Drosophila melanogaster: one gene and its partners. The protein of the gene in region 2 interacts with the protein of the main gene of each other region in a pairwise test. Each region holds a gene or a part of one and is shown on either strand. Other genes may lie near its edges.

The links.
Region 1: the proteins of Bap60 (region 2) and akirin interact in binary tests that used the Drosophila melanogaster proteins (3 or more experiments, as listed by UniProt).
Region 3: the proteins of Bap60 (region 2) and stumps interact in a two-hybrid assay, tested with the Drosophila melanogaster proteins (one study listed by BioGRID).

What each region holds. Positions count from the first base shown.
Region 1 is NT_037436.4:7,367,940-7,374,216, reverse strand, and holds akirin (akirin), read right to left. Parts: upstream 4,375-6,277; 5' UTR 4,149-4,374; exon of another isoform or gene 4,033-4,148; intron 3,878-4,032; exon of another isoform or gene 3,667-3,877; intron 3,418-3,666; exon of another isoform or gene 3,192-3,417; intron 2,511-3,191; 5' UTR 2,383-2,510; coding exon 2,145-2,382; intron 2,055-2,144; coding exon 1,698-2,054; intron 1,637-1,697; coding exon 1,626-1,636; 3' UTR 506-1,625; downstream 1-505. Other genes in the region: Sh3beta, read left to right, coding at 5,283-5,327, 6,233-6,277. UniProt on the Drosophila melanogaster protein: Molecular adapter that acts as a bridge between a variety of multiprotein complexes, and which is required for embryonic development and for normal innate immune response.
Region 2 is NC_004354.4:13,156,908-13,161,487, forward strand, and holds Bap60 (brahma associated protein 60kD), read right to left. Parts: upstream 2,602-4,580; 5' UTR 2,467-2,601; coding exon 2,359-2,466; intron 2,291-2,358; coding exon 1,007-2,290; intron 947-1,006; coding exon 791-946; 3' UTR 538-790; downstream 1-537. Other genes in the region: CG12096 (uncharacterized protein), read left to right, coding at 2,976-4,126, 4,183-4,552. UniProt on the Drosophila melanogaster protein: Involved in the recruitment and site-specific anchoring of the Brahma complex at specific promoter sites.
Region 3 is NT_033777.3:14,589,687-14,594,624, forward strand, and holds the start of stumps (stumps), read left to right. Parts: upstream 1-1,933; 5' UTR 1,934-2,283; coding exon 2,284-2,323; intron 2,324-2,595; coding exon 2,596-2,834; intron 2,835-2,974; coding exon 2,975-3,156; intron 3,157-3,317; coding exon of another isoform or gene 3,318-3,320; coding exon 3,321-3,529; intron 3,530-4,938.

The sequences.
Region 1 (6,277 bases), on a different chromosome or scaffold from region 2:
ATGTATTTATTATTGAAGACTTTTTAATGCATTATTATGTAATTGTAAGCATGTGAATCAAGCGTATTTTTAGTTAACTAGTGTTAAGTTTGGAAAGTTTCTGTTGAACGCACAAACACATTAAATAAATCAAAATGAATATTCTCAGAGTCTGGAGAAGCCACTGTAAAGGTTATTCATAATTTTATTCACAAATGGAAAGTTTTGCACAAAAGGTATCTCTCATTTTGCTCAGTCTTTTCCCCACCTATGGCAGTTTTGCTAGATTCGCAAATTATATTGAAAAACCTGGTTAATCATTTAGCATTAGCTGGATTTGGAGCAACCAGAACCAATTGAGTTTTATTCGGATAATACGGGTTGGTATAAAAAAAAGAATATTGTGGTTTATAAACGGATGAAATTAAGAGTTCGCTTCACAAACAGAATAAAAAGCTTTAAAAAGAAAAGACCAGCGGGCATCTACAATTCATCATTTTATTTTTGTTTGTTTTAATATAAAAATGGCATTTCTTTACTAATTTTAAGTTTAAATTACTAATATAAAGTAGTATGTATGATTGCGGTAATTGAAAAATATATATATATATATATATCATATATTCTCGTATATATTCTTCAAGGTGTGAAAAAATAATTGCAATGAACATGAAACATCTTCTGTCAAGCGTATTTTATAAGAAAGCGTTCAATTTAACTTAATGAATAACTTTTATACCTTTTTTGTTGTTTGCCTTTTCTTTTCGTTATTCATTTTTGTATGGTGTAAAGCAAATCGAAACATTTCAATTGTTTTGTGTGTTTACATTACTTTGCAATAATTCGCATCAAAGGAAGAAACAATTAACAAACGATACTCGAGAAAATAGGCAAATTCAAGCGTTCGTTTCTCGCCTTAGTGTTACAACTAATATGCAAAAATAAACTATGAAAAGTGTTCTTCATGAGTTGTGAGTTATCTTTGTTGCTTCGCTTCATAAATTACAATTTCCAAAAAAACAATATATGTAGTTTGATAGGTTTTACATCATACCTTATATGCTACATCATGTGCCTAACATTATATATTTGCCAATTCTGTCGGTCTGTTATGTACGAAGCTACGTTTGAGGTTTCATTGAATCGTTCTCTCTACGGATGCACCCATATGTATATGTCTGCAGTGGCGGTGTGCTTATAGTTCATATAGTTCATAATTTGATATTTGTCATTTTATTTAGAATTTGCGTTATGTGAAAAACATAAATTTAACAAGTTGGTTTGTTGGTTTCTCTCTTTTGTGGTTTTTGCTTGCTTTTAAATAATTCATCCCTTTGCTGCTAACCGATACAATATATATATGTAAATCTAGGCATAAACTATAACCGTTTTCTTCGCGTGTATTTCAAAATATATTAAACACGATGTATGTTGTAGTTTGTTTTTTTTTTTTTGTTTGTTTTTAGGTTTTTTGCTTTTTAGGTTTTTTTTTTTTGTTGGTTTGTTTTGCGTTTGCTTTAGTTTCCTTATTTGTTGTTTGTTATAGTTTATGAGGGCTGTTGTTGTCGCGGTAGATCTACCGTCACATAAGATCGTAGTGCAATTATTAATTTCTTCTTTCTGAGGCTACAGCTGTGTACACAGCTTTACGACAGGTCTGAAATAAAAATATAATGTAATTAGCACTATAACCATGACCGATGGTAACTTGAACTCACAGCTAGGCGCTGCCTCGTAGCGACGCTGTATCTGATCATATGTGAACTTGACAAAGGCATCGTACTGCTCGGCCAGCTTGGTGGTCAGCACGGACTCGTAGCGCTCCCTTAGCTGATTCTCGCGCTCCTTGATCATGCTCTCGCAAATGAGCTGCACCTGCTTGAACGTGAACAGGGCCTTTTCGCCGTGGCGCATCAGGTTCTGTGGACTGTCCGGGCGGCGCGGACTCTCTGGACCCATCTCCGATCCGCTGGACTCCGAATCCTGCATGCGTTCCAAGGCCGACGAAGTGATCGGCAGCTGTTTGCGCTTGTGCAGTCTCTTGATCTCATTGCACAAGCTCTCGGCCATTTTGTCTGTGTTTCGAAAAGAAGAAAGGTGTATTAAGGTAATATGCATAAAAGGAATCCGACGTCCCTTTTCCAGCATCGACCTGATTTACTAACCTGGTGACATTTTGGCCAGCGACGACTCACTGAACGGACTAGGTTCGGTGCTATCCTTGGCGAATCGGTTGCTGGGCGTGTGGGGCAGACCAGCCGAGGTGCTGGGACCGTCGCGGGATGGCGACGCTGGACCTGCATTGCTCCCAGCCTGGCCAAAGGGATTGCAACGCCGGCGCTTCGGAGGCCGCTGGTTCATCGACTCCCAGTCTAGGGCTCGTTTCAGGGTTGCACAGGCCATCGCTATGATTGAGGTTCTACTACCCGGTGGTCTTCTGATAGATAGATGGCTTGCTTGATTGTCGGTAGATGCTGATTATTGCCTCGATTCCAAATGATGGATGCTGCAGATGGAAGATCAAGCGTCGGCTGCAATGGGCAAACAAACAATGAATGAGTAAGGTGAAGTGAACACCTTGCTGGCAAAGAAAAGACGGACGCAAACTGGTTTCAAGGAAAAAACAGGATTCACAGGCGTGCACTCACGCACACGCAGCCGATAAAAGAAAATGGTGCAGCGATTTATGGCCGCCAATGCTGGCAATTTGGACTTTTTCTCGCCTTGTATGTATCGTGGGCAACAATTGTACGCTCTCTTATCTTATCGCTTATGGGGCGTGATTTTGGAAATAATTTGAGGCTTCAACGCTACAAAACAAGGGCCTTTGCTTAAAAAGAGCGCCGAAAATAGGAAGGTACAAAAATTTTTAGTAAATACTTTTCGCTAGTCAAAGTTGCTAGCAATGCATAATTTGAAAAGCTATTATCCGATATTTTCCCCAGAAAGCTATTAAAAATAGAAATGCCAGTAAAAAACTTTTAAATGCGAAGTTCGCGTAAGTTTAATGACTTTGATGACGTCCGTTTTACCTAAATAATCATGACAAGAGAGGAAAAAAAATTCAAGACAACAAAAAAATGTTTTTTTTCCCCCATTTCGTCACGATTAAATTATATTGTTCAATAAAATTAGTAAGCAATTAAACATATTGTTATATTCTTATATTCATAGCTTTTTCTAGAATAGAATGACAAAACCATTTTAAAAACCTAATTTTTATGAGACTATTATAGTTTCCACGACAATTAAAAGGATGTTGGCTTCCTTGGGGTTTCTAGCTTCTTTCGGCTATCGCCGACAGCTCCGATACCGTGCACCCAGCTGCTGTTGTCGCAGGAAAAGGGCGATACCGAATCGGAATACGAATCCAGAAACTCCGAAGAGAAGGAGAAACCAGCCAAAGAAAGCGACGAAACGAAGTGGCGCAGCGCAATTAAAGGACGACCGACAATGAAAATAAAAAAAACCACCACGCAAAGGCAAAATGCATAGCAATGCAGAGGGAAAATAAAGAAAACAGAGAAAAGTGTAAACTGTAACCCAATAGCAGAACAACCACCGATAAAAGAAAACTACGCAGGATAATAATGCGTGTTCTTCTCACTCTTCCCCTTTCTTTCTTTTCTTCTTCTTCGTCGCTGCAGCGGCAGCTGTACCAGCTGTTTTCCGCACTAACACACGCACACTGCCCTCTCGATAAACCGCAACACGTGTGTATGCGTCTGCTGCTGGTGTTGCTGTCTCTGCCCACAATTATTAAATATTTAAAGCCATATACAAAACGTTTTTGGGTTTAACGTTATACTCTTTTACGTGACAAATGCCAGAGATTAGTTTAAAAAAAAGCAAACGAAATGGCAGCAGCCAAAGCGATCACACTGGTTGTCCCACTCTAGCCTGCACACGCACGCACACAAAGAAACGCACACGCACACCGTTGTGAGTTGGAATGTTGATTTCATGAAATTTTAAAAATGGTCGCATCGCATATCATTATCAGCTTTTCAGAGGAACAAAAAGTTAAACAGCTTTTCCAACAATCGCACTTACATTAATGCGTATTTTGATTTTTCCTTCCGACTGCTTTTTTGCTTTCTGCACCACTTCACACGCGCTTTATTTACTTTTTTATTGTGCCACTAGTCCGCTGGCACATACCCACTTACATTCACGTCCGTACTTCAGTTTGGGTGATTAATTTAGGTTTTCGGTTAGATATAAGTAATGTTATTGCTTGCTGGTTGTTTGAGCAGTATTCCAAAGGCCACTGAAATGCACTGTCAATAGTTGTTCGTCCTCGGCGACTCGCTAGATATAATTTACAAATTTTCGTCTCGCTTCTTAGCAAAAATGGACGACGATGCTTGCGTGACGGGACGTGAACAGAGTGACCGCATGGCGACCGCTAATATTGGTTGCCCTGCTAACGGATCTATACCAAAAAATACTTTATGGTTCTACCAAATATAGCAAAAACTTCAAATAACCGAAAAGTCTGGGGAGAACATTTTTCAATTGCATATTCTATGTACTTTCTTGAGTCCTATAACCTTAAGTCGTTTGTAGAAAGTTAGCATTATTGCATTTTTATTTTTATGGAATTCAACTCCAAGTAACAAAAAATTAATAAATAAAAAACACCCTCATGTTCTAAATTCCACCGTTCCTTGAAGCCGCTAACTCATCGACGCCAAATTAAAAATAATTTGTTCTATAATAAGAATCCTTTTCTTCTATCTTTTAAAAAACCTTAAAAAGCCTATCTTATGCTTTTTATAAATTATTATTTTATTATTACGATTATTAATCGAAGAACGTTTAAAAAATGAAAACCTTACATGGGAGCATAATAAAATTTAAGTTGTCTTAAAAATATTTAATTTTGAAATATCACTTAAGTTCAAAGTTTTTAGTATTTTAATCAAGCATCATATTTAGTATATTTGATAAGCCGGAAGGTTTTCTATAGCCGTCAATGCGCGGTCCCACCATTCAATTCAACGACAAAGTAGGAAATATTTTCCACTCCTGATATCAAATATTTTTGCACTTTTATAAGCGTCGCCAGGCAATTTTTTTATCCGCGTCTTTGCCGTTTTTACAGCCAATAAAACCAACGACCTTGCCCAGTGCGTGTGCCTTCGTCACCAGTGGAAAAACATTACGTAGGGGCGCAGGACGGAAGAAAGCAGGAAAAGAAAAGATCTATAAATATTTTTAATCGCCGTGAAAGTAGCCAGCAGATTTTAGTTGCAAAATATTATTTCATTTGCGGTGCGAGGACACAGTAATCTGCGAAAATGGTCTTGAAAGTCTACGTCAGCGGCATGTCCGGCAATAAGGAGGTGAGTTTGTGGGCGTGGCGGGCTTAAAACCGAAATAGTGTCATGTTATTGGAATGTTTGGCCCTGGTATTAGCGACAAACAGATAAAAAGGAAAAGAAGCAAACTAAAGTGGTGACGAACGCATTGCAAATTCTATTTCTTCTGCTGCGTTTCGTCTTTGTGTGTATGTACGTGAGTTGGACAATGATGATGATGTAGTGTGTGGTATGTAAGTCTGTATGTCTGTACAGTCAAAGAAAAACAAGTGGGTATTTTCGTGAGTGCCCTTGTGTGCGAGTGTTAGTGGTGGCAAGAAGCAGAACAAACATACATTTCATTGCCCATATAAGCTCATTCCACTGTGAACTGTAAATTGTTCATGGAAGAGAGGGATTTCCATTGATCGCAGTTGCGTGGGTGCGTGTGCATGTGTGTGTGTGTGTACATGCGTGAGGGGTGATTCACTTCCCCCTCTCACTCTTTCGGTGCCTTTGTTCAATTGGCAATCTTCCTCTTCCAATAAGAACAAAAACATAACGGTCATTGTACGGTTCACAATTATTTGTTTTTGTCCTGTCTTTGTACACTTTAAAAAAGCGTTGGGAAACACATATTCTTATCGTAAGATAAATGCTGGGGTGCAACAAACCATTTTAATTAGCCTTATCATATCGCGTGGTTCTGGCGTTCTTTTTACGTACATATGTTTATATCGGCGGGGAGTTGGCTTTGTGTGCGCTTGTGTGCGTTTGGGCTTGCCGGTAACACTTCATTAGCGATTTGTCATCGCTGTAATTAACAGCGTTGTCAAAGGTAGCTACACTGAACAAAACGATACATGTTAAAGGTATTTTATATACTTTAATTTTTAACTTTCTTTTCAAATTTAAATGCTTTCACTGACCGTCGAAATCCAATTTTACAGGTGAAGAAGCGCCAGCAGCGCGTTCTGATGATCCTGGACAGCAAG
Region 2 (4,580 bases):
GCTTGAGGTCTAGCCCGAGACGTAGTAATCCGAGTCCGTCTTTAGTTTACTAGTGATATTAATCCTGTGTTGTAGTCTAAACCGTTTAAAGCTTGTGCGTAAATCGTTAAGTTAAGAAGCATCAACTGAAAATGCGTTTTATACAATTTTAAATCAACAGCATCAAAGGATTGCAGAACTATGGAACTTACTAAAACACATAATTTTAAAGTATAAATTATGAAATATTGTGAGATGACTCAAACGCTGGCCTTTCACATTGTTAGATTGGTCAGCTAAAACCCTACAATAATATATCCAAATGTAGATCAAAACGTATTTTAGAAACAATCAGTTAACATGAAATCGTATAGGATCGTAAGGCTACAAGTGATTCTAAAATCTCAATTAACCAACAAATGCATTTTCTAAAATTTAAAGGGAACCCAAAAGTATCAAAAGGCTAAATATATATAAAGTCAACTGAAATCACTCGTAATAAAAATTAAACTTTAGTGTTTCTAAAAGTGAACCGAATCAAATTTTATAGACAGTTTTATATTTGTATGCCATTTTATTAGCTTACAGTTAAGTCCAATATTTGTGCTGGATGTGGGTATTTGGGACAACTGCAAAGGGGATTTTCGTTTTGGAACGGGATGGAGTTCGGCTTGTCGGAAAAAAAGGAAATATTTTAAGCTTAAACTAAACTGGCGAAGGAAAAAGAGTTTGCCGTGCGCACGGTTTATGGAGGTCTCTTGACGGTGGACTCCACGAATTGGCTGGTGGAGATGATCAGCTCATCATTCACCTAGCCGTTGCGTATGCCCAGCGCCTGCTCCAATTCGGCCCGCTTCTGGTTGACCTTGGTGAAGAAGTAGCGCGAAACGGCCTCGTGCGTCCATGGCTGGTAATAGAACTCCGCCCGACGCTCCTCCTCCGGATTGCCAGCTACATCGGTCATCAGCTGAAAGGACGAAAGGTTTAGACAACGGTATGAGGCAAAAAAGAAAAAAAAAGAACTAACCTTCAAATCCCTCGTCTCACTGATGATCCAGCGATGAATAAACATTTGTGGATCCTTGGCGAAGCTTAGGAAGAACTCCCTGTTCGTCTTCATCTGGTTGATCGTGTCCACCGTCTCGTGGATCTTGGTGTCCAGCCCCTGGATCTCCTGTTGGCTCGCAGTGCTCATCAGGAAGCTGTTCATCTGGTTTTTGAGCGTATCATCCACCTCCACATCGATGTCGTAGCAGGCAGTCTGCTTGTTCTCTGCACCGCTCTCAATGAAATGATTGATCACAATCGGATCGGGCGGATGCAGCAGCGGATTGAGGCGTTGCGGTATCTCGGCAAACTTCATCCGCTGGCAACTGAATATCTGCTCCAGATACTTGTCGCAATTGATGTACTCCCGCTCGTGGGCATCCTGTAGCTTGTGCGTCTTGATGTACTGCCACAGGGCGGATATGATCACCGGCCTGGTCTGTGTGTGTACGCCCAGCAACCTGGCGAGTCGCGGGTCCAGCTTGAACTGCAGCGGCTGGTAGTCAAGCAGCAGGAGGATGGTGCAGCGCACATTGCGATCGCCCGGCCGCTTCACCTGGAACCCGTCCGTCTCCTGGGTGGTGTGAGTGCGATGCCACTCGACCAGATGGTTGTCCGGACCGTACAGTTCCTTATCCAGCTCGATAACCAGCGACTTGAAAAACGACGAAAACTTGCGTTTGATCTTTGTATTGGGATCGCCCTTGCCATCCTCTAACAGGCGACCCTCCACCCGCAATTCCCAAGAGGCAACGGCGCCCTCCTCGCCATCATTTGTGGGCTCCTTGCTGGGATAGAATGTGTTCGAGATGAAGATGCGCAGCTTGCGCTTCTGCTTCATGGGGCGCTTGAGGGCCTCCTGGATGTCCAGACGTTTGCGCATTATGGTGGCATCCAGTTTTCGCTCAAACGTCAGCAGATCCATGTACGCTTGCGATTCGGGCACCAGATCCCGCACCTTCTGCGGCAGTATCTTTTCGGCCAGCTTCTTTTTCTTTTTGGCCGTCGCAAAATCACTTTTGCTACCACCGCCACCCAAACTGCGGGATTCATTTGACCTCTTGCTGCCTCCGCCGGATCCAACACCGCCACCTCCGGCTCCAGTACCGCGAAGGCTGCTCTGAAAGCCCGGCTGTTGGGCGGCGCGCTGCAGTAGCGATGGTCCCGGTACGCCGGGTACTCCAGGAACTCCCGGTACCCCGGCCACGTTCGCCGTGCCGGGAACAGGTTGAGTAGTGTTCGGATGCAGGGGAAACCCGCGCGGCTGTTGCGGATAAGATTGTACATGCTTAATTGAAACGGTAGGTGCTGGATAATGCGTGGAAAACTCACTGGAAAAGAGGCGCCTGGCGGCGGATAGGGACGCATGCCGGGCGCCGGTGGTGGTGGCTGATAACGCGACTGCACCGGCGCTTGGCCAGGTGCAAAGCGTTGCGACATCTTTGCTACGAAGTCCTCCCTTTTTTCCAGCCGTAAACAATTGCCCTTTGCAGACGAAGGAAAATTTCTGCCTTTTTGTTTCAATACAACAACGCGTCAAACACACACACAATTTCGCCTGTAAAATGGCGTCAAAACAGGGATGCACTATTACTGGTGGTGGTCGACTGGGCGATAGATATTACAACGTTTGGCAGGGCTGCGGCTATCATTTTGCACTTTAATCGAAGTTATTCATTTCAATAGAGTTACAGCTATATAGTTGGCTTTGAAAATATACTTAAAAACTTTCAAGACATTTGTAACAAACAAACAATACGATAAGGAATATACTAGCACTTGCTACTATCGATCGAAAACATTGGTTTGCCCAAACGCTCGATAGTTGCAGTGTCAAGCCATAAACATAAGCAATATCGATAGTCGCCAATAAGTTCGGACAAGTAACGTCTTCTGAAATCGAAGAACGATAGGTTTGAAACCGACTGTCATTTTAACACAGAAAACAAATGGAAATGGAAGACAATTGGTGGGTCACCAAGTTAAAGGCTCTGGAGTCGAAGCCACAAAGGCTGGATGCGCTGACCGCCATGAACTCAGCCATCGCAAAGGAGGCGGCTCTTCCGCGTCAAATAATTGAACGCCTGCTGACCACGGACCAATTGTATGACTGCGCCAATCCCGCCGCGGATTCCCATGTTCCCAAGGATCAGGCCGTGGACGTGACCCTGGAATTGCTGTGCCACTGCCTTGATCAGCTGGCGATGGACACCGCCGACGAGCAGCTGTCCAGTCTGCTAAGACGTGGCTTGACCCACTCGAATCCAGCCTTGCGTGCCCAGGTGTTGGCCAGTTTGTTCAAGAAGCTGCTTCGCCAGTTGACCGTCGGTCAGGTTCTCACCCTGCCCAACAATGAGCTTATTTTCCTCATCTTGGACGAGCTGAAACAACCGGATACGCAGAGTACCTCTCTGGCCATCAATATCCTATCCATCGTGCTGCCTCAGCGAATCAGCAATGCCGATGTGCAGGCAAAGCTAGTACAGCTCCTAAAGCAAAATGAGATCGTGCGCTGTCGCGCCTACGAATTGGCAGTGGTCCTGGCCAAGAAAAGTGCCACCTTACTCAGTGACGTTACATTTATTCTGGATGCGGCTCTCAGCGAACTGGATAACGACGATGTTTTATTGCAGGCTAGCGTAATGGAGCTCCTAGTGCCACTGGCCGAACAAAACCATGGTCTGTCCTACATGGAACGTCGTCGCGTTTTGGATATAATCAGCTATCGGGTCCAACGCGTCGAAGAGCATCCGCTAGACGCCCTGCTCGTTCCCAGCATTATGAAGTTTTTCGGCAAAATTTCCGTATACCAGCCTCTGAAAATCATTGGCGGCTACCCGCACATGCTGGCCTGCTTGTTCATGCAGCTTCAATCGGAGGATGAGAGTATTCTGCCCACTGCCATGGATACGCTTGCCAATTTGGCCACTACTCCACAGGGCAAGATACTGCTGAACATGCACTTTAGCGGGGCCATGGAGAAGTCCTTTAAGAAGTATGGCTCGCATACTAAGAAGCTATCGGCGCACATCAAGAAGAGGCTGCTCAACTCCCTGGATGTGATTTATGACTTCAAGACGCCGCCTGCCACAGAAATCATGTAATGCTTAACTCTATAATTGAAGTTTTTCTTCTAATGATTCTCTTCTTTTTCAGTAACATTGGTAAAAACTGGTACGAGTGCTTCGCTGGGGGAGCGCATGCTAATATCATTATGGACCTGATAAACACTCCGTTCCCCGATCTTCAAATGGCCGCCTTGTCGTTCTTGAAAACCATTTGTAAGTACAACTGGGGCATTGTAGCTCTAAAGAATACCGGCGGTGCTGTGGAGTTCCTTCTTTCGCGTCAAAAGGATCTGCACAGGGACATTAAGTATATGAAGTGGCAAATTATGGAGATTCTGTCCGCTAGCGCTGAGTTTTCGCCCACCGAAACCATCCGTTTCACGGCCTATGTGAACGAGGGACCCTATCACGTCCAGGCGGATCTCGATGTAGCCACTGAACCTCAGGGCAACGCATAGAAAGCCGGATGGCAGGCATTTGCGGCCT
Region 3 (4,938 bases), on a different chromosome or scaffold from region 2:
AACATGCTAAGTGTTATATTATATAACATTAAAGTTATTTCTGCCAGTGTAACGTTGCAGAGTCACTTGCTCCGCAGAGAGCCGCCACTCAAAGATCAACCCTCGATGGCAGACTCTCGCCTTTATGGACTACGAAATGTGCAATTTCTGCTCGGGTACCGAGTTTTACGATTTTTCCATAGGTCCCAATATGCCGGGCATCTGTGTGGTAGGGGTTATTTGGTTGTTGGCCCAGTATCGATGGCAGGCCCGATTTTAGACCCAGTCCACTTAGGAATTCCACGGACAGACCACATGGACTCTCTAGCATTTTGCCACTTCAGTTGTTGCTTCAGTTTCAGTTTTTTTTTTCCTAGTTGCACTGGGGAAAAATGTGAAAATGTGTTCCCTTAGCACAATTGTTGCTCTCCCCTGGCTGCAATTTTTAATGTGCCTTTTCCGATGCGCGTTCTTTTTTTTCTGCCTTTGATGCTCTCGAGTTTCCCCTAATGTGGCTGGAATATGTCGCCTGGCCATAGCTTCTATTATGGCCTTCTATTTTCGGCCCAACATTGATGACAATTTTCATATTTGCCATAAAGTCGAAAGGCAAATATTGCGTATCTTCAGGACAATTGAAGAAATGCTCCAAATATGAGTTTACTTTATGCTAATATATTAATATACAGCGTAAGTAATCATCATATTTTTGATGAATTTCTGGCATCTGTATCATCAAACATCCTAAAACTCTTTGTATAATTTTTTTTTTTTGTATTTTTTCCCATGATATTTTGGAAGATTAATTCTCCCACCGCTCTGCGAAGGTGAGTTCTCATGGTCCCTCCCGAAAAACGTCTCATAAATGTTTCCTGACAGTGAACATCATCGAATTGAAGACCAACCCAACCACAGACAACACTCGGCGCACAAACTCAAACTTTGACACTGATAGAACATGGGGAATACTAAACCGGGGGGCTCACCTCAGATGCTACAATATATATGATGATGGTATATGCTATGTGCGCCACATCAAGTTGGCTTATATGCTAGATGGGTCTTCTATTTCTGCTATCGGAACTCATCAAATATGCACGACGAGACCAAGACAAAACGTACGCTCACGGATGGAAAATGGGAAAGGGACAGGAGACAGGGACAGTGGACAGGGGACAGAGGACAGGGAATCATGGATATCATGGAAATCATGGACTCGGAGCGCGCTGGCGATGATAATTTGATCATGCGAAAAGCGCACGCAAAAGAAAAACATGCGCAGGTACAACAACAAAGTCGTTGTAGTCGAGGAAAAGTGAGTTTTCCTGATCGCCGATCGGTTTCTAGGGGTGGGGGAGTACCGAGTGGGTGATGGCAATATGGCAACCATATTTAAACACTGATCCCGTATGCGTGTGTGCGTGCGCGGGCGGGAGCGAGATGGGGTGAGAGTGCGAGGGAGAGATGCAATGTTTTTATGCTGCTGCCGATGTCGCTGCACTGTGAGAAAATAAGAGATGAGAATTGATTGATCTCTCAAAATGATGTACAAATTTATTAGTGAAGACACAGAAACAGACATAAAGAAATCAAATTTACCGATTAAATATTATTATTTTATTTAATTAATGTATCCAGTTCAAAATCTTGTGGTACTTATTTCAAGTAATTTTTTGTATCTGAATTTATTAAGAAAATTATGCCTAACAGTTTCGCTTAGAGAATTCGAAAGAAAATATTAATATGAGAAGGTGGGATTTTTCGGTATATTTATTTTTATCAGTGCACGCTGAGAATGGGAATGGATGAAGAAGTGCGCGTATGGTAAATAAAAACCAAAACACGAGGAGGGATTCTCTGCGTCGGCAGAGACGTCGACAGAGACATCGGCGGTGGCAGAGGAAAATGCAGACGGCGCGGAGTGTTTTGTTCTCGTTGAAGTTTTAGAATTTATTCCGTTTCGGGATGTCAATGCAGACGCACGCACTGCGCGAACTCAAGTGAACTGAAGTGAAATATTAAGTCGAACCATCACGAACTTGCATTGCCGCCTAAATTTGAATTTTGAATTTATTTGCCCCGTTTTTTCAAACTGACAATTTGTTAAGTTGCCATTTGTGGCACTCCCCGTTGTGATTTCCGTTTACGGTTTCTCGAATTCGCGCCCTGTGCGCAACTTTTGGCGCGTGCGCATGCGCAGCCAGTGAAAGTGCAAATGCATCGCAAATCAGAGCTCTGAATTGTGGTAGACTCTGCGAATCGCATATCAACTAAGGAAAAATTCACTGCATAAAGGATCTCAAGATGTTTGTCACTGTGGATAACACAAACACCTTCTTCTCAGGTAAAAAGAGTGAAAGAGTTTCTTAAAGACTTTATAAGTTTCTTTATGCGAAAAGAATTGTAACAAATATCAAAGTTTTAAGTTAGAAAGTATGAGCAAAAGCGAAAGATTATACAAAGATACAGAGATTCATACAGATTAAAAACGTACATATATGATATTAAATAAATGTTATTTATTATACTTTATAAGCACATCCTCAAACTTTGATAAGTTCAAATCAGAAAACTAACTCCATTCCTCATTCATTCTATTGCAATTGAACTCCCCAGACAACCCGTATTACTTTTGCAATGAAACCAAGTCGCCGCGCACCCCGGACTCGCAGTCCTCCAGCCGGGGATTCTCGATCTTCAAGCGGCGCAACTCGAAGGGCAGCAGCCCCCGGCCGCTGGTGATGACCAATCCGGAACAGATGCGACTGATCACATCCGCCAATCTGGATACCACGGCTACCATGGCATTAGGAAGTCCGCGGGGCAGCTTCAATTCCCTCGCCGGCTATCCGCAAGTGAGTAGCGATTTAATAGAGCATATTCCGATCTCCGATTTCGGAATACTGATTCTGATTTATCTGCTGGATCTGCCACTTCCTGTGGAGTCGAGTGAGCCCTTCTAATGTGCCGTCCTCTTCCGTTTTGCGCATTTCAGCACGCGATTGAACTGCAGACGATGAACATGTACCGCCAGCGATCTGCAAATTCGCACTCAGAGTTCCGGGAACGCCTGAATTCTTGCAACGAGACCCACAGCTCCCAGTGTCCCGGAGGAGGAGGTGCATCCGTAGCTGGGGATCACGACGAGGTCTTCAATCCGCTGACATCGCCAACAAGGTGAGCAATCCCCAGAATCGAGCATTTAATGGGGAGGGTGAGGTGATGACAGGATGCGATTGCAGCTGTTGACAGTTTCGAACCGCCCCCTTTTCCGCCCATGCTAATCGTGCGCCCTTTCTTTTCTCCCCCCACCCCCCATCTTTGCGACCAATCCTCAGTAGCAAATCGCATCGACATCACACCCTGCCAAGTGGCGGAACTCGTCGCCATTCCCTGGGAAACTGGGCCCAACATCAGCATCAACAGCAACATCAACAGAACTCTGGAGCAATGGGACTGGGATCTCCGGATGAGGTGCCCAGCATGATGGCGCCTCGACCGCCGCTCCTCTCGCCAAACAAATTCCGCGGCAGTTCCCATCGACGAAGAGGTGAGTTGACGTTCCACGACACTTGCATTTCCCATCTGCTCAGTATGCCACGGGGCAATCGCGAATTCCTATGCTAATCTGGGCTCAATAAGTAGAAGTAATCCATGTAAATGGAAATCGTTTAGCAAAGTTTTCAGATAATAGAAAAGTCGATAGTTGACAGCAAACGTATATGGATTATAGGATATGGCTGTTATGTCCCTAAAGGAATAAATTTTGGCTCACAAATTTTTAATTTTCTTTGAGAGCTATTTTTTAAATATCTGCTTATTGCTGTGTTATTTAATTTACTCGAGTCTAATATACTTTTAGTTATTTTAATATGCCCCACAAGTTCAGCCGACGCAGTGACAAAGACAAAGTGGTTGCAAATTGCATTCCCTGCCCTCGTTTCGCGTTCGCATTTTTGCACTTTGGCGGCTGTCAGGCGTTCACTCCCCTTTGCCTGCTACTCCATTTTCATGCCCCAAAAGTCCTCCCTTCTGGGGTTTTCCCCCCTGTTGACTCCTCCAGTGGCTGCCCAACAACCTTTACCTCGCAGCTTTGCATCACGTTTGCATATTAAGCGCAACTGCCAGCTCTTCGGAATTTGTTTTTTCATTTTTCGCCTGGCAGGCGCCATGGAATTGGGTCCACTACCCAGCCCCTTTCAGTTCGCCCTCACATTTAAACCACGTTAACAACATTGCAATGTTTACGCAAGTGATAATTGTAATAGTATTTTGTCGCCAGAGCGTCGCCAATCTTTGTTTTGGCATTGTTTTTCCCCGGCAGTGGAGTGGAGCTTCTGTTTGCCTTCGATTTTGTGGCGTAATGAGGGGATCGCATATAGCCGATCGAGCGTATATATAGCTGATTGTTGGCAACGCGCCTTCCTGGCTGACTGACATTTCGCGACTGGCCTGACATTGACAGTCCTCCGTGTGATGGATGCCCCTAAAGTGGGCAGTTGCATGCAAGATGGAAAGGCCTCCTGGTTTACTCGTATGTCCAGCAAAAGTCACAGGTTTATGGTTTATGAGTCGCTCAGGACTCCTTTGCACGATCATTGTGTATTCATCATAAGCGTTTTCAAGGTTTCGCTTTCATGACATCTGATGATTTAAGTTGATTTAAGGCACTTCGTGTGACGTTTAAATCCAGCGCGATTTTCGAGTCTCAAAAGAGATGAGAAATAAGTAGTAGATGAGATACTGAGGAGTGTTTCATACATAGAAATTCAGAGCATGTAGATCTGCTTTAGAAGTGCCGCAATTTATTAGAAGTGTGCCATTAAAGTTTTTACTATTATAAAAACAATAGATTCTTTCCCTTATTGTTATTGTTATCAATTATAATAACGGTTGCCCACAGCGCCTTATTCTAAAAATGATCACCCACCATATTCGACACACTTATCGCTATGGTCA